Linked DNA regions of Arabidopsis thaliana. The protein of the gene in region 1 interacts with the protein of each later gene in a pairwise test. Each region holds a gene or a part of one and is shown on either strand. Other genes may lie near its edges. The genes, in order: ASIL2, ERF14, AT3G08780 and AT5G10210.

Region 1 (6,996 bases):
AATTAGAATCTGAACTTGAACTTTCTGCTTACTCAGTTGACGACAGTAAACTACCATTATTGCTGCCACCGCGGGTAAAAGTGGATGAGATGGAGCTTGGAGAGGTGGCAATGGCAATAGTTGGATTTGCAGCAAGTTATGAAAAGGTGGTATAAAGCTTAAACAAGTGGTGGAGCTGGAGAAGGAGAAGAAGGAGCTTGAGTTGCAGAAAATGCAGTCCTTTAAAGCTCAATTAGAGGTGTTACGGAACAGTCGCGAGGATAGAGACAGTGAGAGAAGAGTCAGAAGTCACCAATAGTGTCAAGGATAACGGCAATGTAAGTTCACAGTTGAAGAGATGAATGTTTGTAAAAGTGAATTCTGATGATGTTTAGGATTGTGGCTTGAAACATGACAGTGTAAATCGAAACTTCAGATTCTGAATATGGCACAAATTTGATGAATAGTCAAAATACTTGAAAAGATACCAACTTTATTTCCTGAAACCAGTTACAAAGTGATAGACACAGAGTGATTCATGAAGAGCTGAACAAAAGATAAACGCCACTACTACTATTACTACTTCATCTGAAGGATGAATTTTGAAGACATTAAGAAACAGAAACTCAGAAGAGGTCGTCAGAGTCTTCTTTAAGTGTGAATTCGCATGAATCGAACCGCCAAGCCAGAGGAGTGGAAGGCATCATAGAGCCATGACGGATTGGAGAGCGCCATGGAGTCGAGTTCTTCAGCCAATCAGAAAACTTGGGCGATGCCATCTCTTCTGGTTCTTCGTAAGTCAGATCGTCCTTAGCATCCATCTGAAACCAAAAACACATAGGATAGAGTCATAAAAAGTGTCACTTTAAGTTCCAAAACTAGATTAAAGATGCAGTCTCACCAAAATCTCCATCAAAGACAGAGAGATAGACATTGTTTTTTAAGTACAGTACCTTTTCAATGTCCCAATTGAGATGCTTCTCCTTGATGCTGGAACCTGCAAGTACAAAAGATCAAGTTTAGCACAAGCTTACTCGCAAAGATTGGTTAAACATCATAGCTTAGAAGATCTAAATACAATACCATGATGAAGTAGCATGAGATCAGCAGAGTAGTGATCATCCCAAAGATTTTGCTGTTCTTTGATGCATTTGCTGTGATCATGTAAAAACCTTTCCCCAGCTATATCAATCTCTTTCACAGCAGCAGAAGCAATTTGCTTGTTCTTTGAAGAAGCAGCAGCTTTCGCATGAATCCCAGACTTGTTTGTAATATCATTCAGAGCCTTACGAGCTCCTCCAGGTTTCTTCTGACCAAGTACAGTCCCTTTGGATTTCACAGAAGCAGCAGTGACAGACTCTGTAAATAATAGCCAAGAAAGAAAATGTTAAATCTTTGTTTCAAAGCAATATGATTTAAAGAGAGTAGAGAAAGATTAACTACTTTTGCGATGAATTGGAGCGTTCTCGTCTGGGAAGATCATTTGTTGAAGAGCGTTCATGTTCGCCATATGGTTTTAACTGTGAATCATCAAAGAACCAATTGCAGAAACGAAGATTTGATTCCAGAACTGACGATTTTAAGCAATTAGAAACCCTAAAAAAGGTAACAGAAACCCAACTCGAAATCGAAACAAAGATCGTTTTTTTCACAAAACCCAATTCGATCCTCAAGCAAATTTAACACCACAGACCCCAGAAACCCAGAACGAATCAAGTAGCGACATACGAAAAGAAGAACAAACAATCGCAAGAAGAACAGTCTATAATGTGAACCTAAATCAGAAGGAAGAAAGAGATTACCTTTGTAAAAGTGAAGAAGTTTCTTGGTGAGATTCTTGTTGGAAGAGAAGTGTATAAGAAGATGAAGAAGAGCGCTTAGAGTGTTTAACGGTAACTTTTCAATGTTGTTCTGACGAAATAATGAAGAACCTCCGGGATTAGGCCAAAAAAAGTAAATTTATAGAAGAAGAGAAAAAGTTTCTAGCCGTTGGCAGAATATTTTAATGCAGGCCTAATCAAGAATTGGCCCAGGTACAGGCCCATCACATAAATCAAATTGACGGCATCAAACTATCATGTAAGATAGAAGCAAAACATGTCACACTTCTCTAAGTTATCTTCTTATCGGCTAGATTTATCATCATCCTTGATTAAATCTCCTTAATTTTGGAAGGTTAAATTATAGGTAAAGTGTATATAATTAGTCTAACCAAGGATATTCAACGCTTCTCGTTCCTGTTCCTTATATAAAACCATTATCCTCACATAAAGAAGACTTAACAAAAAAAAAACTCTTTTCAAAACACATTAGAGACAATTAACAAGAAAAACCCTTCTAATAATTTGATCAGAGATATGGGTTTTTCGCACAAGTTGTGGGATGAAACTTTGGCCGGTCCAACGCCGGAAAATGGTCTCGGGAAGTTGAGAAACCACATATCCGGTGAAAGTGCCAACCGGAAGTTGATGGTGGATCTGAAACGTGTCCCGAATTCTCCTGACCGTTCAAGCAACCCCGTTTCCCCTTTGACTCTTATGTTACCTTTTTTAAAAATCCTTTCTGATCCACTTTTTTTTTATCTTCTATGCTTGTGTTATGAGCAGTTAAAACCCTATATATTCATGTAAATTAAAGACTTTGCAAGGTGATACATATGTTCATAGTCATTATAAGCTTTTTTTTATTATTTTTTTTTTTTATTTTGACATCCATAATCATTATTAGCTTGAGAGTATTATGGATTTGTAAATTAATGATTACCAAAATCATTTGTATGCAGCTGGAACACCAAGTGAAACACATGCTACAAGTCTCAATGCTTGCGATTGGTTTGATCTCCCTCTCTTTTCTTTCCTCTCAAACTATACTTCATTTTATCCAACGCATTATCGCTTTCATTAGTACCACCATATCTAATTAACGTCCGGTAATACTGCAGGATTGTGCTAAACGCATTGGACCGTTGAAAAATATTACAAGGTATTTCTACGAGAAGAAGAAGTATCCCAAACTACTTTTCTTTGTATATATATATTTGCTGTGTACATAACATAATGGTCGCTTTTGGTGTTTTGAGATTTGAGAAATATTAAATTTCTGTTTGTTTCACAATTCACGAAGATTATATAAGGTCTTTTTGAAACATAGTATTTCTGGAATGTTTAAAGTTGTATCTTTGACAATGGTGAAAAGAAAAAATGATACTAAGTGATAACATGCTAACGTAGCGTATGGAAAGCCCAATAAAAACCCATGCCCAAAGTAAATAACATCCACGTCACCGTTCTTATTGTTAAAAGAGAGACTAATTCGAATCGATTTAACGAATGAAGCAAGACAACGAAGGAAGACAACTGGAAACTATCGACGGACTAAAAAAAGTCTACGACCGATATTGAAACTGACGGTTAGGCTAAGGGTAATTTCGGTACATCACCGGAAAAATGGTTCACGGGGATAGTTCCGGTAATTATAGTAAAACTAGATGGGCTTTTCCGTCAATACACTTCCTCATCGGATTACGAAGAAATGGGGAAATTACGATACAAACCCATCTTTTACCCCTAAACCGAGCCGGCAACTTTACCGGTGACGGAATCTTACCTCTGACCTACCAATCACGTCATTCCACGTCATCTCCCCGTATCTTCTCACGTCCTTCCACGTGTCCCCTCTACTCACCGACGCCGTCTCCTTCCCGTTTACCCCTCCCGAACAGAATATTAACCCAAACCCTAACCCTATCTCCCTCTTTCACGAGCTTCTGACTCAGATCCGGCGATATCGAATTCCATGGAGGACGATGAAGACATCCGATCTCAGGGTTCCGATTCACCTGATCCGTCTTCCTCCCCGCCGGCGGGACGAATCACGGTTACGGTGGCTTCGGCAGGTCCGCCTTCTTATTCTCTGACTCCTCCGGGTAATTCGTCGCAGAAGGATCCGGATGCGTTGGCTCTGGCGCTGCTTCCGATTCAGGCCAGCGGTGGAGGGAATAACAGCAGTGGGAGACCAACCGGCGGCGGCGGGAGGGAGGATTGTTGGAGCGAAGCAGCTACGGCTGTGTTGATTGATGCGTGGGGTGAGAGATACTTGGAGCTTAGCAGAGGGAATCTGAAGCAGAAGCACTGGAAAGAGGTGGCTGAGATTGTGAGCAGCAGAGAGGATTACGGTAAAATTCCCAAAACTGATATACAGTGTAAGAATAGGATCGATACGGTGAAGAAGAAGTATAAACAAGAGAAGGTGAGAATCGCTAACGGCGGTGGCCGTAGCAGATGGGTGTTCTTCGACAAGCTTGACCGTCTGATTGGATCAACGGCGAAGATCCCGACGGCAACTTCTGGAGTCAGCGGTCCTGTCGGAGGATTGCATAAGATTCCTATGGGTATTCCAATGGGAAGTCGTTCGAATCTGTACCATCAGCAAGCTAAGGCTGCAACACCGCCTTTCAATAATCTTGACCGGTTAATTGGAGCTACGGCTAGAGTCTCAGCTGCTTCTTTCGGTGGCAGTGGTGGAGGAGGCGGAGGAGGATCTGTCAATGTACCTATGGGAATTCCGATGAGTAGCCGTTCAGCTCCGTTTGGACAGCAAGGGAGGACTCTGCCACAGCAAGGTAGGACACTGCCACAGCAACAGCAGCAAGGGATGATGGTGAAAAGGTGTAGTGAGTCGAAACGCTGGCGTTTCAGGAAGAGGAACGCTTCTGATTCAGACTCGGAATCTGAAGCAGCAATGTCAGATGATTCCGGTGACAGTTTACCACCTCCTCCTCTGTCGAAGAGGATGAAGACGGAGGAGAAGAAGAAGCAAGATGGTGATGGAGTGGGGAACAAATGGAGGGAGCTGACTCGGGCAATCATGAGATTCGGTGAAGCTTATGAGCAAACAGAGAATGCGAAACTGCAACAGGTGGTTGAGATGGAGAAAGAGAGGATGAAGTTCTTGAAGGAGCTTGAGTTGCAGAGAATGCAGTTCTTTGTGAAGACTCAATTGGAGATATCACAACTTAAGCAGCAACATGGGAGGAGAATGGGAAACACCAGTAATGATCATCATCACAGCCGCAAGAACAACATCAATGCGATTGTCAACAACAACAACGATTTGGGTAATAACTAGAATTTAGTGATGCAGTGTCGTAATTGATATATTTTAGATTTGAGTCTTTAATTGTTGAAAGAGAAACTGAAACTTATCTAGGCTTCATGAGTGTATTAATATTTTGCATATCTTTCTTAACTTTGGTCATATGGAACAGATTTAACTTCACTAGATTGCCTGAGATCATTCTGCTGCAGACTCTTGTGCACGTTTTTGAACTTCTCTTAATCTCTGAGTTAGATTGTGTTTCACTAGTTAGGTTAGAACATGGCATAGGACATTTTTGACACAATCCAACCGCAAAATCTTAAAGCTATGTTTGGTTATTATGACATTGGAGATTTGCATGTGTACCTAAAAGCATTTTTTTAACTCTTTTTCTTTTGAGTAATTGTTTGAGCTAGATTTTCTTGTGTCTGAAGCATCATTCAAACCACCAATGATGATCTTCTATAAAAGAAGAATGTTAGGCAAGAAACCTTTTCGTTGGTCTGTTTATTTATTTTTCTATGATGTTTGCCTTTTGGCATTTTATAGGTACTAAACAAATGACAGTCAATTCAAATTCATTACACATAGATGTTTCTCACAATTTTACCTTCCGCACTAAGCTAATATTCATGTATCGAAAGGTGAATCATGATATTTGAGTAAAAATACCATCTTCCGAGTCCCACCGTAACATCATTCTAACTTGCACTATTCTTATTTTTTTTTGAAACGAATACAATAATGAAAACGTAAGAAATAAAGCATCTTGAAATCTTCTGAATTTTGTTTTTGTTTTAGGTAGAAAAGAGTTTGATTCCAAAGGTCCACGTGTGTTTAGACATATAGATTAGATATTATCTAATGATATATTGGTATCACTAGGATTACTAATCAAGATTTTTCCTTAGTAAAGTTCAAAATAAAGTTTTTTTTTTCAAAATAAAGTTTTTTTTTGGAACTAAATCTAGCAATAAAAGTAGTGATTACTAAAGAAATAGTAAATTATTAATGTAACAAATGAATATTCTTTTTTTTTTTTTAAAGTGGGCAAGAAAAGATACCAAAAAGAAAGAAAGAATTGGGTAGGATTTAAAGCCATGTCTCCATTATAAATATATAGTTAGGGTCAATTGTCCATTAAAATTAAAGAAGAATAAAGAGTGATATCCTATAATTAGATATTTTTTCAGGGGGTCCATCATTTGATTTAAAGTGTCTCCAAAAGTTGGAATAAAAATGGTTGGTGTTAATATTATTAATTTTCAGTAGAGTAGAATAAGCTCTAATTTAAATACTTCTTTTTGTCAGCATCTATTTAGTACAGTGTTTATTTAACATAATATACATTTTGCACATAGAGATTTTACTCTAAAACAGCGAATCGTTGTTACTCTTAACGTTAAATATTTGGATCTGAAAGGCAAAGTACCAATATACCCATTTGTTCCTTGGCCCATCTGTGGGTAAGAGACTAATTTACCCCTCCAATTTATATACTTCACAGCAATAAATTCGAAGAATAAAAGGGTATTATGGGTAACTAACGAAAGCCGTTTAGGATTCGGCGAGACCTGTTTCCGGAATTTCGTAATTACTGCCGACTTTCTTTGATTTTTGTTTAATTTAATATTTCAAATTTTACGCTCTATTACTCTCTTTTTTTTTTTGTTTTGTCATCGTATACGCTACTTCACGTCAACAAAAATGGTGATTTTTGTCTGAAGAACGTTTATTTCTTTCTCTTGATTTCACTTTCTCTCTCTAAAGTAGATTTTTGACAAAGATAGATTACGGCGGAAGGAAGGAGACACACAATGATGGGAGAGATATTGAATCCATCAGCGGAAGTGAAATTAATTACGAAGTTGACTTGAGAGTTTTGAGTGAAGCCAAAAACAGAAGAAAACAATCTTCATT
Region 2 (5,410 bases), on another chromosome or scaffold:
CCCTACGCTACACTATAAAAACATACTTAACTGGAAATAAATTACTAGAAATTCCAAAACTTATGCATTGATCCGATGGTTTTTGGTTTGGCTAAATACAAGAGATTAATATCTAACTGAGTGTTACTGTATATAATAATGTAGATCTCATAACAAGAAATTGTAAATAAATTTCAAAAGAAAATTAATTGGCTTTTAAATTTTATTATCTCAAACTAAAGGTTGACTTTTACTTTACCATTTAAAGAAACCAATCTGGGGTCAACGTTTTGAACCATTGATATGTGTGCGAGTCAAAACATCCTATAATTTAATGAGACACAATTTACAAAAAACAATTTTTTTAACTTAAATTATCTAGTTAATTAATTTCTTAAATTTTAATCAATTTTTGGTTTTATGTGTATGTCTAAGAAATAACTATGTAATCTCTGTTTTCATTTTAATAAAATAAAGCAAGATGTTACAAAAATAAAATTAATTTCTTTAGTGTAAAATTGAATAATGTGATGTAATTTGTTCTATCGTCTGTTCTGTTTCCATAATTTTTTTTATTTTTTTTGAACAACCATAAATAAATGCTGATGACAACAAAAAAAAAAGATAAAAAAATGCTTTACCAGAAAAGAGAACTGTAAAAAAAAATGCTTTCACTTGTTTCACTTTCTCTTTCTCCATTCGTTGACAGGAAAAAAAACAATTATGTTTCGCCATTCTTCCATTAGTTTTTCTAGACCCATTTTGGGCAGCTGCGTGGACCATATGTGGGTCACGAGTGAACTTGGGCTGGGCCATCATATATTCAGTGTGCAAAGATTATGTCAATCTATTAAAATGAAAATAAACTGTGTCAATTTTAAAATATATTTAAAATGAAACTAGTGTATGTCATCTTGAAAATAATAATGTGTAGCATTAATATTAACCATACATAATATTGTATGAATATCTTTGAGTTCATTAAAGTTATTTTTGTTCTCAAATTAAAAGAATGAAAGTTAAAAGGTACTTAAACTATAAATTTCTTATTTATAGTGCTAATTATAAAAATATAGTTAATAAATTCTGTTCCATTGGAACTCCGCTGTAATTGATCGAAGATTATCCAAAAAATTGGTCAACGTATTATCGATTTTGGTAAAAGAAATAGATTAACCCATAAATCCTTGATATTCTATAACCTTTAGTTAAAAGCTTCATCTATATGTTAGGGTTCTTGTTCTGAAATAAACCTTTTACTATAGATTCTATGTTATTCAATTGGTAGGTTCATGCACGAAGACATAAAAAGACTTTAGTTCTAGCTATATGTTGTCCCCAACCTCGAGAGCCCTTACTTACACTAGTCGTAATGGCGACAACAATATAGATTCTGATTCTATATCAATCGAAACCACACAATCTTCTTTTTCCCAGAGATTATTAATTTACAATAGAATAGACGTTAATTCCAATCTTCTTAAATTTAATTCTTTTTATTGTTGAATAAACGTAGATTCATCTCTCCTTTCAATTCAAGAAAGACGTCGGAAATGTATATTGAAGATAAGAAAAAAAATGAACAATTGAATAATAATAATTATTTTCAATCAGGCTCTATTTTAAATTTCTTTTTCAAATATAAAAGAATCCTTAGATTTGTTTTTTGTTTTTTGGAACAAGGAAGTTTTGAAGTACAGTAGGTTTTCGATGATATTTGTTACCGTCTACCGAGAATTTTCAACAAAATCAGTTTTCAGTTGTTGTTTTTTTGTCGCCCAGTTTTCGGTTGTTTTGGTTTGTTTGTTCATAGACTCGGTTTATCCAAAATAAAACATTAATGCGACAGTATTTTATTTTTTGGTCGCATTTATGCGACAGTTTAAGCATTTTTAAAAAAAATATACAGGCACTACAACAATTGTCATAACTTACCAAAAAAATATTTGTCGTGGACCGATTCAAAGTCAAAGGCAAGTCAGATTTAAACGACATAATAAAATCGTAATCATTATTTTAATGTGATTGAAAGGGAAAGGAACTCAGATATGATAGAAGAACAAAGAAGGAAAGGGAACTCCAAAACTTTGTTTTCTAGTCTAAAAAAAAAGACTTCGAATATGTACGGACACCTATAAGATCGAATCCAATATTAGGAGCAGCCAAAAAGGGCCAATTAGTGTATTTTAAAATATATATTTTTAAAAAGGTAACAAAAAGAAAACTTGAAGAAGTAGGTACATTGTGACCATGATGATGAATTTATGATCAACTAGGTACATTGGACATGTCGTTATCCTTATTTCAACTGACTTAACGTTAATGACTTATTAGAAAAGCCCACGTGACGATTAGGCTAATAGGTTTATAAAAGTCAATTTCGACAGAGTATAGTGTCAGTAAAATATCTGAGATTTACGGGTGAAAGATACTATTTATGGAATGTTCACTTATACGAAGTCCTTCCGTATAAGTTTCTTATTGACTGTGACATCTATTGTTATATTTATGGAACTTTAGCGATTAATTTTGTGGACCTAGCTAACTAAAGAAAGTTATATTTGTTGGCTCAACGAAGTCGTATATTTAAGTTAAAAGATTCAGATTCTAGAGTATGTAAGGTATTATAGGCTGTTGATTCTTGTTTTTCAGTTAACAACTATATACTGTAGTGTGTATAAGGCAATTACAAATTACTTGATTCTAAGCTGACTACTTTTTTTGGTTTTGTATATTTTAGAGGACTAAATGGTGTGATTATATTTAATGAAAATATGATATCTTATTAATGCTTTTAAATACAAACAAAAATGTAGATTATCGTACATGGGAAGCGTGATTTCCAAAGCATAAAATCAAATTGCGAATACCTTTTGTATTTGCGTTCACAACTTACAAACATTTCTTACTAATATAAAAACTTTTATTTGTTCAATGCATATACAAAGTTACAAACGCAACCAACATTTGATTCGATCAAATTTCTAGAGATTTCAGGTACCGTACGTTGGCAAAGATGGAGAAAGTAGTTCAAATGTCATAAAAAATTTTAGCGATTAATATTTAGCTCAATTTTTTATACGACATTTTGAAAAACAAAATCTTATATTTTCTTTTAAGGTAGAATAAGTAATGAATTTCCAGCTTTATGTAGAATATATGCATAATTTGAAAACAATTCAAGGCCGATTCAATGTACTTAGTAAACGTTTTTGTTCTTCTTCGTTAGTGGTATGTTCGTAAACTTGATGTTAAGAAAAGTTAATTGATCTAATCTACTGCAAATTATTCAATAAAAATTAATTGATGTGAAAATATATCTAGAAGGAAAAAATTCTCCAAAATGTAAAGTCATGTCAAGAACTTAGACCCCCACACGTAGATTCTGTATTAAACAAAAAATTTATTATGGTCCAACGAAAGCTTCTGAGTCGGTTTTGAGAGTCAACCCACGTGGGCACTAACGAAGTCCCAAGTCAAACATATTCCTATGGGTCCTCCAATCAACTCTTTTATTCAGTACACATCATATTTTTGGTAACATAAAATTCCATTGCTGTTGCCAAAAAATACCATACAAATATAGTTTTCTATAATAATTAGTTCAAGAGACTGTCTAATTTTATCATAAATTTCCTACTTTTTGCAAAAGTTCAACTTGAGTTAAACCTTATAAGCTCTATTTAGATATAAATATTTAATAATTTAGATATAATGTAAAATATAAACGCAAAATATAATAATTTCAAGGATATAACAAAAAATTGTTTTATATTTTTGTTGCACATGATTCTTACCATATTATTAATGTTGTACATTTCCGAAACCCCATACATGTATATTATTATAGCCATAAAAAATTGTACATATATGTAAAATACAAAATTCTCAAAATAAAATCTATTATAAAAAAATGAAAAAAGAAAAAGAAAAAGAAAATTTATTTTATGAGAAACATCTATGTTGAAGGAGAAAAAAGGTCTAAAGAACATCTACATAATTTTCATAAGTGGAGTTTTTCGAACTTCGAATATTAGGTTGATGGACCCACTTGTTTCCTTGCCTATAAATTCCACAAATCAAATCTCATTTAATCCATGCAAAATTAAAACACACACAAAGACAAAAAAAAAAAAACAGACGCTACATCTTGTGTCCGTTTCCAACTCTTAGAACATCCAATTCTTCTTATTATTCTTTGTCACTTGGTCTCTCTTCTGACGCACAACAGTATATACACATACACAGATATATGGATCAAGGAGGTCGTAGCAGTGGTAGTGGAGGAGGAGGAGCCGAGCAAGGGAAGTACCGTGGAGTAAGGAGACGACCTTGGGGTAAATACGCCGCGGAAATAAGAGATTCGAGGAAGCACGGAGAGCGTGTGTGGCTAGGGACATTCGACACTGCGGAAGACGCGGCTCGAGCCTATGACCGAGCCGCCTATTCAATGAGAGGCAAAGCTGCCATTCTCAACTTCCCTCACGAGTATAACATGGGAACCGGATCCTCATCCACTGCGGCTAATTCTTCTTCCTCGTCGCAGCAAGTTTTTGAGTTTGAGTACTTGGACGATAGCGTTTTGGATGAACTTCTTGAATATGGAGAGAACTATAACAAGACTCATAATATCAACATGGGCAAGAGGCAATAAAGGGAATACAATCGGTATTAACTGAAAGTTATGTGAAAGACCATTTTCAGTTATAACAAATAAAATAAAATCCCAAGCGTACAAAGCTGTTTCAATTATTGGCATGAAGTGTAATTGTCAATCGATTTCTGTAACGAATAAGATTCTTTAAGCGGGTCATCTTAGTTTCTTGAACTTCAAAGTTCAAACGGTTCCTTGTGCAATTAGTTTTGAGAAAATATTAATGAAAATAATGATTATGTGAAACATATTCTTTTATGTTTTGTGACGTGTAATTATGATTTGATATATTTGTTACCTTCTTGTGATTCATCTAAACGAGCTTAAACGTTTTAAAATAAATCAAAGTAAATTTATAAGATATCAATATAACCTATTACATCGCTCTAATTAATATAACTACCAGCATGTACAAGTACATTGTGTTATACGTTTGAAATATGGAATTCATCTTACCATTGCTTGTTATTGCTCTTCCATTCATGAATTATACTGGAAAGGCATATGTAGACGCATATATACATGTACATTTTGAAAATAGTTTTTATAAGCAACTGATGAGTTTAGTAACTTGTGGGGACAATAATTCATTGAGTTGATAGATGAGTTTTTAAAGACAAAATATAAATACGTGGAGAAAGAAAATCACCCACACCACACGGCCATGAAGATGAGATGAGAGACTTCGGCGTTAATTCCATGCTTCTATCAGGAATCAGGATCACCATAGAAGCTAGAACCATATACTTTAAAGGCATTAATTTTTGTTTTCCGTCC
Region 3 (5,949 bases), 2.0 Mb from region 1:
GCGGCATGTGGCCTCCTGTCATTGGAGGGAGGAACATCCCGAACATGTTGTTGTTGTTGTTGTTGGTAGCATGAGGAGAGCCGCCTTGAGGGTTGTAACCGAGGGGTTGATGTGTGTGTGTGGTGATGACCACTTGAGTCACTTGCATTGGATGTGTAGGAGAGTATTGAGGGCTAGAGCTTGGAGATTGAGCTTCCCATGGTGGTGGAGGTAATGCCAGAACGTTGTTGTTTTGTCCACCTTATAGACCACAAGAGACAACGATGCAAAGGGAAAACAAGTTAGGATTAGTTTGAGTTTTCTATAGGTACTGATATCAGTCTTGAGTTTCAGGTCCAAAATGAATACCATAGTGAGGAGAGGCGGGCGGGCTAAAGTTAGGCGAAAATGGTTGGTTTCCGTAGGCAGGAGAAGATGGTTGTTGAGTAATTTGGAGATTCCAAACAGGAGCAGATGACCCTTGACCATAATAAGATTGCTCTTGATGGCCAGGTCCAAATCCATTCGAGTAATTTTGTTGCACCTTCTGATGATTTGCGTGAGGATTCGAAGTTGGAGTAGAGCTTTCGCAGTTATTATCTGACAACATATCGATTAAGACGATGGAATTATCTGGCTTTGCTACGGGGCTACTTGGTTGTGGAGGTCCGAGAGGAACAAGAGCTAATGAGTTATCCGCATTCGGAGTCTCGAAGTCATCACCACTTAGAAGGTCTATTTTTGGACCATTGGTTGTATAAGCCACAACACTACCATTTTTGGTCTCACTGCAAAAGAAGTTCAAAAATATTTTAGAGTGTAAAAGGCCAATCTTTTTAATCTTTCAACCTTCAATCCTTAACCACTAAACCAATGCCTATACATCAAAATATAACACACAATACAACAACAAAATAATTCTTAAGTTTTTACACAATTTAGTCAAGAACCCAAAGATATTTCAAAATAAAACATTTAATAACTAGAAGTCTAGAACTGTTTCTTACCTTGAACCAACATCTATGATTTGAGTTGTGTCCTTAGGAACTTCTTTTTTAGATTTTTCTTCTTTTTTAATCATACTGTTTCCAGAGGCGATGGCTTCGTGCTTTGCAAGTAATCGCTGCAAATCGTCATTTAAGGCTAGGCCTTGGCAAAGCATAGATTCATCTCTGACACATGAACCAAAACGTGTATAAAGAACATATATTCGTCAAAATTGTTTAGAGTTTCAAAACAAATTTTGCAGGTAAAAGTTTCAGATCTTTACGATGTCGAGTTTACAAGGTGCACTACTCTTTGTTTATAGGTGCGACATTGGCTAACAAGATCTACAACAACCTCTTGTTTAAGTCCCTGCAAAGGTGAAAAGAAAATACATTCATTTGGTAGATTCAATGTTAACGAAAAATGTTATATGAATTTTCAGAATCTAGGTGTTAAAAGATATACCTCTTTGTTGTTTCCATCTATTGCGTTCATCATTTCAGCTAAGACATCCATAATTCCTCTTGCGTTTTGAATTTCTGTCAAACTTCAACCAAAAAAATGCTATTTGATCAAATCTTTTTATGTTGAATATTCCTAGAAAATAATGAGCAATAATTAAGATAGACACCTCAGAGTTGGAAATTCTGACTCTGTTGAAGTATCAATAGCTTCTTGTCTAGCGTTACGAGAATTCTGAGGATACCTTGTCGAAGGACCATTTTGTCCTGAACTGGGTGTGATTTGAGGTCTTTGAGGGAATACAATTCCTGCACGCTGAAAACAGATAAAAGAAATTAAACGAAATACTAACATTCAAACCATATCTCCATCGGTTCGATTAAAATGGACATGTCACAGCAAAAATGAAACATACCAACAATTCTTGGTATGCTGCGTAATATTGTGGATGTCTTCCTTGTGGACCTGAAAAGCTCTCTTGCCAAGTATCTATAAGTATCAATATCTTCTCCTTCACTTGGATGTTAGGCTATAAGTTTAACAAACAACATGATAAGTTAGGTGTCACACAAAACTATTGTTATAGATTAAACAATCGTTTAAAAGAAACATAGCCTGACCTTCCTTTTGGCCATCTTCACCATCTTATGAAGTATATCCTTCTCTGCAACTTGCATATGAATAAGTTCTCCACAATTGGTTATTATTGTCTCTAGTAACTACAAAGTAACAAAACCAAAATATGTTAATCTTCTCATAAATAAATTTTTAAAAAGGAAGAAAATAAAAGTAAATATCTGAATACTATTGGTTGTGTACATATCATACTGAAGTGAAGTTTGGTATTAATAATGTAAGAACATCTCATTCTATGCAAAACCGAAACTGAATCCAAAATCAAACCAAACCAAACCAAAACATGAATATCAAGCCCTGGTAGTAGAACTTACTGTAAGAGCCAGAAGCTGAACCTTGGAAGTTCTACTAGTAAGCCTCTTCTTTATGCCACTCACTACCTCTCTCGTTTGCCTACAAACACACACTCACATATCATTAGAAAAGTGGAATAAAACCAAAAAAAAAAACATCAAAACCAAATCTGAACCATCCGAGTCTTCAGTGATCAACACAAATGTAGTATAACCGAGATCAACAAAATTACCATTGATTCTCTTTAGGAAATCACAATGTCAACAATTACCATTTTTCCTTTAGAACATTGATTCGTATTGATCACCTAGAGCATTGGACCAAGGATTTTACAGTCATTCAAATACATTTTAGTGAAAAAGGTCTTACCCAGGCTCATGATTAAGCATGTCACATATCTCGAGGTTCATGGCCCAGTCAGGACCAATGAGCATATCGCTTGTAGCTCTATCAACCAAAGGATGCACCATCTTCTTGGTTTTTTCCTCTGTCCTTCAAAAAACTCTGAGCTAAGAAGTGTTGTTTTCTTCCTTGTAGTCTGTAAAAAGATATTTTGCTCTCTTCTTAATTTGCAACTAAGAAACAACATGGCGACACTTGTAAGCACCGTTGCTAGTTGCTGCTACATCAATGCAGAAGATTAAGGAACTAATTGACCTTTCATATTTCCCTTTTAAAATGTTTTTCTGTTTGATTGGGCTTTAAGGTGAATAACGGGCCTCGAGTGTGGACATTTATGCCCATTTTCTTTCACAAAAACGACACGCTAACTACTCGTTAGAACACGAAACGCCACGTCGTCCTAATGTGCTGATACAATTTTTATCTCGTTTTTATTTGCACAGAGAGAGATTTCAGTGACGTCACATCTTTTCCTTTTGGTGTTCTTCTCGTCGCCATGGACGATCTCTCTCTAGAGAAAATCGAGATTTCGGGTCCAACATTGGCGTCACTGATTCAACGAGCTTCATCTTCTCCCAGTGACGTCGATGGCTTGATCTTCGGCCAAATCCACCGAATCGTCTCTTCTAATCTATCCGACGATTCTCCGGCGGATATCGCCTCGAGTTCCTCCTCATCTGATCAAATTGTCGCCACCGTTACAAGCTTTATCTGCTCTGGTAAAACTGTCTCCTTCTACGATCCGCTTGGCCGAGTTGACTCGCGTCGAATCGATTCCCTCCGAGTCGACTCACCGGACCACCTAATTGGGTGGTTCTCCGCCCGCAGGAAAACCGCTAACCGTCCATCAATGAGAGAGTTAGCCGTCACGTCGTCTCTCTCGTCTCAATTTCACTTACCAATCGAGGATTTGCAAAACCCTAGATCGATGAACATGGCTTCATCCGTGTTCTTTCTTCTTACTATGCCATTGACGGATCAGTGCATTCACACGCACGAGTACCGTGCGTACCAGTTCCGATCCTCGAAACAACGGCTCGAACCTAGATCCGTTGGTATAGTCAACATTGGACCAGCGTTTCGAGGCCATTACGGTTCGTTTAGTCCGAAATCGGGATTTCCACCGTTGATCTGCGAGTTGAGTAGCTCAGCCATGAGCGTGGATTGCGATGAGAGTTCCTTGAGTGCGAAGAAACAATCAGCGAAAGATCAGAAGGAGATCGATGCGTTAGCAGAGGGGTTTCAAGTTGGAGAGTTGAAACGTTTGGTTGGAGCTGAAGCTGCGAATTACACAGGCGGGATTGAAGAAATGTATGAGAGAATGCTGGCGAAGATCGAGAGCTTGGCTTCTGATGTTGAGAAGAGCTCGGCTAGGGTATTTCAACAGGTACAAAACCATCTTCAAAATTCGATGTTATTGCTATTCAAGAATTAAAGTGGTTTTGTTGTTCATGTTATTGATTGTTGTCTAGCAAAATGTTACTGAATTGTACCAATACAACATCTTCAATGGTTCTTCCAGGAAAAGCATAATAGGAAGTTGAGAAACCGAGTAGCCAGAATCGGGAGATGAGGCTTCTTTTGAATTTCTTTAAGGTTTTTTATCGAGTCTATATACTTGGAATTCAATCCAAGAGAACACTGGCTAGTAGTGGCTAGCGCAATCGGAACTATATGCGGGAAACGATTTGTATTATAGTTTAGCGATTTCCTAGTTAAACCTTTCCTGGCTAGATTGATTTGTCACAAGAGATCCCTTTTCCTTGTATGGCTAGTTTTTGTTTGAAGAGAAACAATCAAGAATGGGATTGATTCATGTCAAGAGTTTCTATAATTGGGCGTATAATATATGTTTATGAAGTTTAATACTAAGCTAATTAGTTGCATACATATTGATACCAATTACCAAATGGTAGAGCAGAAATACCCCGACATGACTAGAGATAGGAAAAATGATATCACCAGAAGAATGAATACCTTTGAGAAAATTGATATATGATATTGAAGTTCTGATCAACAGTCATTATAATTTGTATAGACGTTTAACTTTGTAAGGACTTTGGAATTGATTAAGATGGGAACTTTTATTGTCGACATGAATGGTATGACACTGAGGCAGAATGTTCAAGGAGGGTAAATGTTACTATAAATACCATGTGAATGTGTATAGTATAGTAACATTATTCAATTGATCTCGAATTTTATTGACTTAATTTTTGATTCAAGAGTTGTAAAAGTTGGATACAGCCCGTTGGAATGATTTAATAATACAAGCTACAGAATTTGGAATCAAACCGAATACATGTTTCTTCTGAATCAGGTTTTTGGTTAAGGATCGGCTAAACCGAACAAAATTGGGACCACGGCTCAAATTACTTGATGGAAACCAACCAAAACGGTTTCTCAACGATCAATTTCACACCACAGCTCTTAGTACTCGAAGATGCTCCTTCATATTTGTGCTATCTTAACTACTTGTAACAACAAAACGTACCAACCGCACACTTCATTAATCTCTTTATCTAGAGCGTCAATGCACTATGAGCAGCGATACAACTCAATATCCATCGCCTAAAAATTGTCATTATTTTTCCTTTTGTCGACGTTGATATTGACATATATATTACTACACACATGGGTTAAACACTATCCAAATATATGTAGATGAGAACTGAAATCCTTTTTATTTGTCAAAGCAGTTTTAAAACTTTGAATTTTATAATCAGGCATTAAATCATACACTACTGAATTAAACAGCATTTCAAACCAGTAAGAAATTAAATACTATCCAAATTCCTATCTTAATCTATTAGTCTTTTTCTTTTCTTTAACAACTCTTCTCATTGTAGTTGGTATCAGTGTTTAATTTAGTAGGCCTTTTTTATTGATTAAGAGATGAATTTGGATAGTTAAAGAAGAAAAAATGTAATTAAAAAGAAATAATATTGTTAGATACAATGCAGTTGAATCCGGAGGGTTGGATCTTAATTGGCTGAAGGTAAACATTAAATTCTTCCACAACTAACTAACAGTAACACTCGTGTCCTAGCAATCACTCTTCCTCAACTACCAATCTCAAACTCTTTCCATCTATAAATAACCTCTCTATTTTCTAACCCTAACCATAACACAAATACACCAAAAAAAAAAAAACAGAAAGTAACATGAGATCTCTCTTATTAGCCGTGT
Region 4 (5,702 bases), on another chromosome or scaffold:
ATGAGTTCGTTGGAGATAGTTTATTCTCATTTTTACCAGTATCCGGATCGAAGGTTGAGTTACCATTGTGATCTGCTTACACGAGGCATGGGAGGTGTAGAGATGGAGTCGAGAAAAGCAGAGGAATGGGCGAGCCAGTTGCAGTGTTGGTCTCTTCAGCTCATAAACTGTTTCGCTTTTAAACCCGAGTTTCTTCCCACTTTGTGTAAACCTGAGTTCTTGGTGAATCTTCCAGTTATGTGGGGAGGACTTGTGAATGAGAACTCGCCTGCTGGTATCGGTTTGCTTAGAACAATCTGTCAGCATAAACTAGGTCGTGGACCTGTCTCTGCATGTGCAGGAATGATTGAGGCCTTGTGTAATATCGCTCGTTCTTCTGATGATTGGCAGTATATGGCGATTGAATGTCTTCTTTGGTTGCTTCAAGATCCTAATACGTCTCACAAGGTGATTGATAAGGCGGTGCCAACGCTTGTAGATCTTGCAGAGATCACAAACTTGGGTGATCACAAGAAACTTGGAGATTCCATTGTGAGTGTTCTTCAAGAATGCAGCTCAATGGGTAACCGTTCAAGGGAATTGATCGAAGAAACGGTAAATTCTCGACAGAGACTGAAATGGGAGAAGAGTATGCCTAAAGAGGACCTTCATATCAAACAAGCAGCAGCTTTAGTGGTCAAACTCGAAGGAAACTCTCTCTTTTCATCAGGAGATATCGCGGGTGCAGCGGAAAAGTACTCGGAAGCTTTGTCTCTATGCCCAATGAGGTCGAAGAAGGAAAGAGTAGTGTTGTATAGCAATCGAGCTCAGTGTCATCTCTTGCTACAACAGCCTTTGGTTGCTATAAGTGACGCTACACGTGCGCTTTGCTTGCACAATCCTGTAAACCGGCATGCTAAGAGTCTTTGGAGAAGAGCTCAGGCTTATGATATGTTAGGTCTAGCTAAAGAGAGTTTGTTAGATGCGATTCTGTTCATCAACGAATGTTCTCAGTCGAATGATCCGGATCTCTCCATGAGACAGAACAAGGTTCCTGATTACGCAGAGAGGTTGGTGAAGAAACAGATGCGTGCAGCTTGGTTGTTTAAAGAAGCGGCATTGAAGCATGGAGGTGTGCATAGGAAAGGTGAAGAGAGGGAAGTGTATGGAAATGAAACAGATGATTCGGAATGGGAAACAGCGAGTGAGAGTGATATAGGAGATGATGGAAGGGATCATATGGGACTTGATGATGAGGAGGAGGAGGAGGAAGATGAAGGTCACGGTGAGAAGTGGAAGAACCGGGATAAATCGAGTGAGAAAAATGAGAAAACTTCTGCCAAAGGTGAGATTCTTGCATGATTATGATCAACACATTGTTGTCTTGATTTCAAATTAGTTAATGGTTTATTGGTGACACAATCTATGAATTTGTTCAGGTATGAGGCATGGATACAGCATAAAGCTTGCAGAAGATGAAATATGAAACCTTGAAACACAACAAGGTCGTTACAAGAAGTTGAAGAACAGAGAAGACGTTGAATGGGTTTGAGTCTTTTTTACAAGCAAGAAACTTGCTTCATGGATATCGTAAGTTTTCTTTTACTTTTTTTTTTTTTTTTCGTTTCTTTATTTAGTTTTGTGTGATTGTAGGATTTGTGGTAAAATTTTATCCATTTTGAAGGAGTAAAGAAGAAAGGAACAATTGTTTTGTTTTTTCAGTGATTTTATTTATTTTTATTTTGTGGTGTATTTATTCAGAGACAAAGAGGAGTTCCAATTTGTAAAAAAATATTTTTTCCTTATATTAAGAAATGATTTGTGATTGAGAGAGATATTTTTTTTTGGGGGTCAATGATTGGCCGAGATTGTAGATTAAAAAACATTTTAAATGGATATTCGCACGTTAGCTAATACAGTAATAAAAAATTTGTACAAAGATAGAGAATTTTTGTGGGTCTTAGCTTATTGGATTGCGATATTGTAAAGTAAAAGTTTTGAAAAATGGAAGATCTGCATTTAGTCCACCGAGGATCATATGCATAGTCGATATTGACACAAGAGTGAAATTTGATTGGAGGAAAGAGGATATGTACCAAGCCACTATTTACCTTTTTTTTACGTCAGGCTCTTGAGATGATCTTCTTAGTTTTGATGTCTTTTTGCAAATTGCAGTGACGTTTTCTAAATTGGTACACTAAGTTTAAAAATGCTGTCCTTTGGATAACTCCAACGGATGATATGAACTAAAACAATGCTGTCCTTTCATATTATGTAAGAAAACACTCACTCGGTTAACTATGAGCAACCCACTACAAGTAAGTATTGTAAAAACGTTTTTTTCTTTCAAATTCCAAGTATTTTTTAAATTTTGTAATAGAAAATAATGATTTGGGTTTTGTAAGTTAGTATTAGGATTTAGATTTTTTTAAATAGTAACGAAAGTGTTTGATAAAAAAGTAAATAGTAACGAAAGTAACCTAAATTGACATTTCCATTACCCTTGAGATGATCAAAATAAACACAATTTCTGCATGATTATGAGTTTATGACTATGCTTATTAGCAATGATTTGTTCTTTCTATAATTTAAAACCAGTTGAAACTAAAATTGTTTTTGTAAAATTTAATAGATGATATTATTAGTATACAAAACTTTTGTCAACAATGAATTGTGTGATAAGAGTTTTTTTGGAGATTTTCTTATGTAATAAAGTCTATCTTGTATGACTACAATTGATCATGGGATTCGTGGCTAATATTTTTTGTAATTATATCTTTTGAGTCAAATTCCATACTCATTTTAATATATGCAATCGAATGTATCTACTAATAATTTGTTCTTATTTAATTTGATTCTGTTGACTCTGTTCCAAAACAACTTTCGGCTATTGGATGTGTCCACGCGAAATGTAATATAATAATGATCAAGTCTTCAAAATGGCACACCTTAATTTCTTTTTGCAAATTATAAAAATTCTTTATATGGTGATCCTACGTATCTATCTAATTATCTCCCAAAACTATGGGCAAGAGTCATTATTAAAATCGACCCTTGGTCTTTTGAGATGCTCAAGAGTTTTAATTTCTAAAATATTAAGCCTTCACTAACATGATTAGAAAAAAATAAAAAGTTAAAAACATGATTAGAAATTTAGAATATTTTAATAAGTACAATGTGGAAATCTAGTGTAAACTTTCCTCGAACATTCCCCATAGATTTATATAAATAGCTAGTGAGAATTTGTTCATGCACATATTCATCACAAAGGAACTCACTGCTCTTAAATTTGCTCTAATTGTTATTACCTTGGTAAATAATATATTCTTGGTTCGATTCGAAATTTTCAAGCAAATGGGTATCGTTGAAAACATTCGTTCCCTTAAATTTGAAGTGAAAATCGTGGAAGCTAGAAACGTAGAGCTCAAGTCATCGCCAACCACTCTCTTCGTTAGGTTCTATCTCCATGCAGGGAATAACAGTAAGATTGAACTAAACACTCCAGAGATCCGTTCGAGATCAGACTGTGAGGTCATTTCCTGGAACCAATCATTCGGTCTGGAGTGCCAAGGGAACGAAACCGCGGTCGAGGAATTGAAGCAACAAAGTGTTGTTTTCGAACTACGGAGAAGGAAAACGACGCCGTTTTTGAAGAAGTGGTCGAAATCAGAGTTGGTGGGTAGAGGAAAGATTTTTTGGAAATCGGTTATAGAGACTGATGGGATGGAAATAGAGAGATTTGTAGTGATGGATGAGACAAAAGATCACGTTCTGGAAGATTGTGATAAGCATAAACCTCTTTTGTTGAAGATAGCTTTAAAAGTGCAAGCTTCAAAAATCGTGAACACTAAGAGAGTGGAAGATCTTTGTGAGTGTAAAGATTGTAGAACATGTAACTGCGTAGATTATGAAGCTTTTGTTGTAGCTTGTGCGTTAGCTGGGATTTAGTTTGTAAGAATAAAATTTAAAGAAGAGATGATTCAAAGAAACCAGAATAAGTTGTTGCAGTAAAATGTAAAAACTAAGGACCAAAGTTCAAAGAAAATGAAAAACAAATAACAACTGTCTTATAAAAGACTATGAAACGATGATGTTGTTTCAAGCATGGTCATGTCCAAGAAGGGCGAGAAGCATATCCTTGTAGTCACCAGAAGTGTCATTAGCAATGGCTCGATCAAGAGGAACACTGTTCCTGCGTAAGTATTCTTCTTTGATCCGCTCCAGGTCGACCTCTGCTCTTGTAGTGACCACTCTAGTAAGTGCCCACTCGTCTGTTCCCATCCTGTTGATGGCTCGACGTAGAACCTTCTCAAAGTACTTCTCTGGATATGTCAAGCATTTGATCGCGGTTTTGAGTAATTGAACATAATCATCGTTCGAATCTTCTTTGAGAAACTTGTTAATGGAACTTCCAAACTTGTCCTTGAAGTGATTGAGTGTTGCATTGATCTGTGCTTTGCTCCTTGTTGTCAAGATTCTGATGAGATCTTCATCAGTGTAAGCCTTCTCAGTGATCTTCTTGTGAAGTGTCTTAGCTTCGGATCTAGCCAGCTTCACGTTGACCTCATCAGCATTTCCATCGTACCTGAAGGTGCTCACAAGAGGAACCAATAGCTGCATTTTTACAAGTGGTCAAAACAAAACAACATATCATCAGAAACTTACTAATTGGTTTAAAGAATGATATACATAAATCTTTCACTACCTTTCGGATATTTCCAGATGTATGGTATGCAACATCTTCCTCGAGAGAGGTCTTGTAGCGAACATGGTATGCTTGCTTGGTCTTGAAAAACTCAAGAGAAGGTCTAGTACAAGCGATTTCAACTAGGACCCAAATGTTTTTGGTGAACAATTTGGTAGATTCATTGGCCAAATACGCATCTCTCTCCGTTGGATCAAGAGTCCACAACATCACAACTCTCTGTTTTCAAGCAAAGTAAGATGTTCAAAATAAGATGAAGAAATATAGATTTTGTATCTTTTAGTTTTGACAAACCTCAAAGTCACCAGAAAGCTCTCCGTCTAATTCCTTGAGAAGATCCTTATTGTAGTTAGCAGCATAAACGGCACGAATGAAACTGCGTTGCGTTGCGTTTCTATGAGCCAAAATTGATATGATCATCCCTTCATTAGTTCCCCATCCTGCGCCACACAAAAACAAATTTCAAACCCAAGTTTAGTCAGATAGAGAGTATGTAACAAAACCTAACTAAACCAAACCAAAATTTTACGACAGTTAGAAATTAACTGTAAATATACAAGAAAGCTGATGTTCGCTAGTAGAAAAAAAACCAAGCTTGAAAAAATCTTAGAAGATTATTAGAATTTTTTTTTTGGGTTTAAATCTGAATAAAAAAATTGTTACGAAAGCAACAAGTTAATCTGTTTAAAAGAGTTGTCTAATCGTCGATTACAAACCAAACGGTCAGGAAACGCTCCAACATAAAATCAATTGCATCCAAAATCAGCAAAAGAGTAAATAATATGTCACACAATTTTGCACCGTAACAAAAGAATCATGCAATGGAGTATAACCACAAAACTTCACGAAGTTAAGACTTCCTAAGAATCATTTGAAAAACGAAATAAAAAAGAGCTAACTTATCATCCACTTCTTAAAATTAAACCTATATACGTGTCATCAACCAAACCAGCAAGCTAGATCAGTAGATCAGACCTGTCATGATAATAGATTGAACTATTGATAATCAACCCAATTA

Evidence for each region.
Region 2: the proteins of ASIL2 (region 1) and ERF14 interact in a two-hybrid assay, tested with the Arabidopsis thaliana proteins (one large-scale study listed by BioGRID).
Region 3: the proteins of ASIL2 (region 1) and AT3G08780 interact in a two-hybrid assay, tested with the Arabidopsis thaliana proteins (one large-scale study listed by BioGRID).
Region 4: the proteins of ASIL2 (region 1) and AT5G10210 interact in a two-hybrid assay, tested with the Arabidopsis thaliana proteins (one large-scale study listed by BioGRID).

What each region holds. Positions count from the first base shown.
Region 1 is NC_003074.8:4,705,400-4,712,395, reverse strand, and holds ASIL2 (sequence-specific DNA binding transcription factor), read left to right. Parts: upstream 1-3,219; 5' UTR 3,220-3,774; coding exon 3,775-5,106; 3' UTR 5,107-5,594; downstream 5,595-6,996. Other genes in the region: AT3G14190 (uncharacterized protein), read right to left, coding at 606-800, 933-976, 1,063-1,338, 1,423-1,489. UniProt on the Arabidopsis thaliana protein: Transcription regulator that may repress the maturation program during early embryogenesis.
Region 2 is NC_003070.9:1,170,946-1,176,355, forward strand, and holds ERF14 (Ethylene-responsive element binding factor 14), read left to right. Parts: upstream 1-4,087; 5' UTR 4,088-4,231; coding exon 4,232-4,633; 3' UTR 4,634-4,823; downstream 4,824-5,410.
Region 3 is NC_003074.8:2,664,760-2,670,708, reverse strand, and holds AT3G08780 (BRISC complex subunit Abro1-like protein), read left to right. Parts: upstream 1-3,148; 5' UTR 3,149-3,256; coding exon 3,257-4,147; coding exon of another isoform or gene 4,148-4,195; exon of another isoform or gene 4,196-4,282; coding exon 4,283-4,333; 3' UTR 4,334-4,646; downstream 4,647-5,949. Other genes in the region: AT3G08790 (ENTH/VHS/GAT family protein), read right to left, coding at 1-240, 349-767, 987-1,151, 1,250-1,335, 1,432-1,513, 1,598-1,743, 1,844-1,957, 2,049-2,147 and 2 more; LTP6 (lipid transfer protein 6), read left to right, coding at 5,925-5,949.
Region 4 is NC_003076.8:3,202,903-3,208,604, forward strand, and holds AT5G10210 (nitric oxide synthase-interacting protein), read left to right. Parts: upstream 1-3,237; 5' UTR 3,238-3,333; coding exon 3,334-3,927; 3' UTR 3,928-4,077; downstream 4,078-5,702. Other genes in the region: AT5G10200 (ARM-repeat/Tetratricopeptide repeat (TPR)-like protein), read left to right, coding at 1-1,324, 1,419-1,465; ANN6 (annexin 6), read right to left, coding at 4,078-4,593, 4,685-4,903, 4,979-5,124.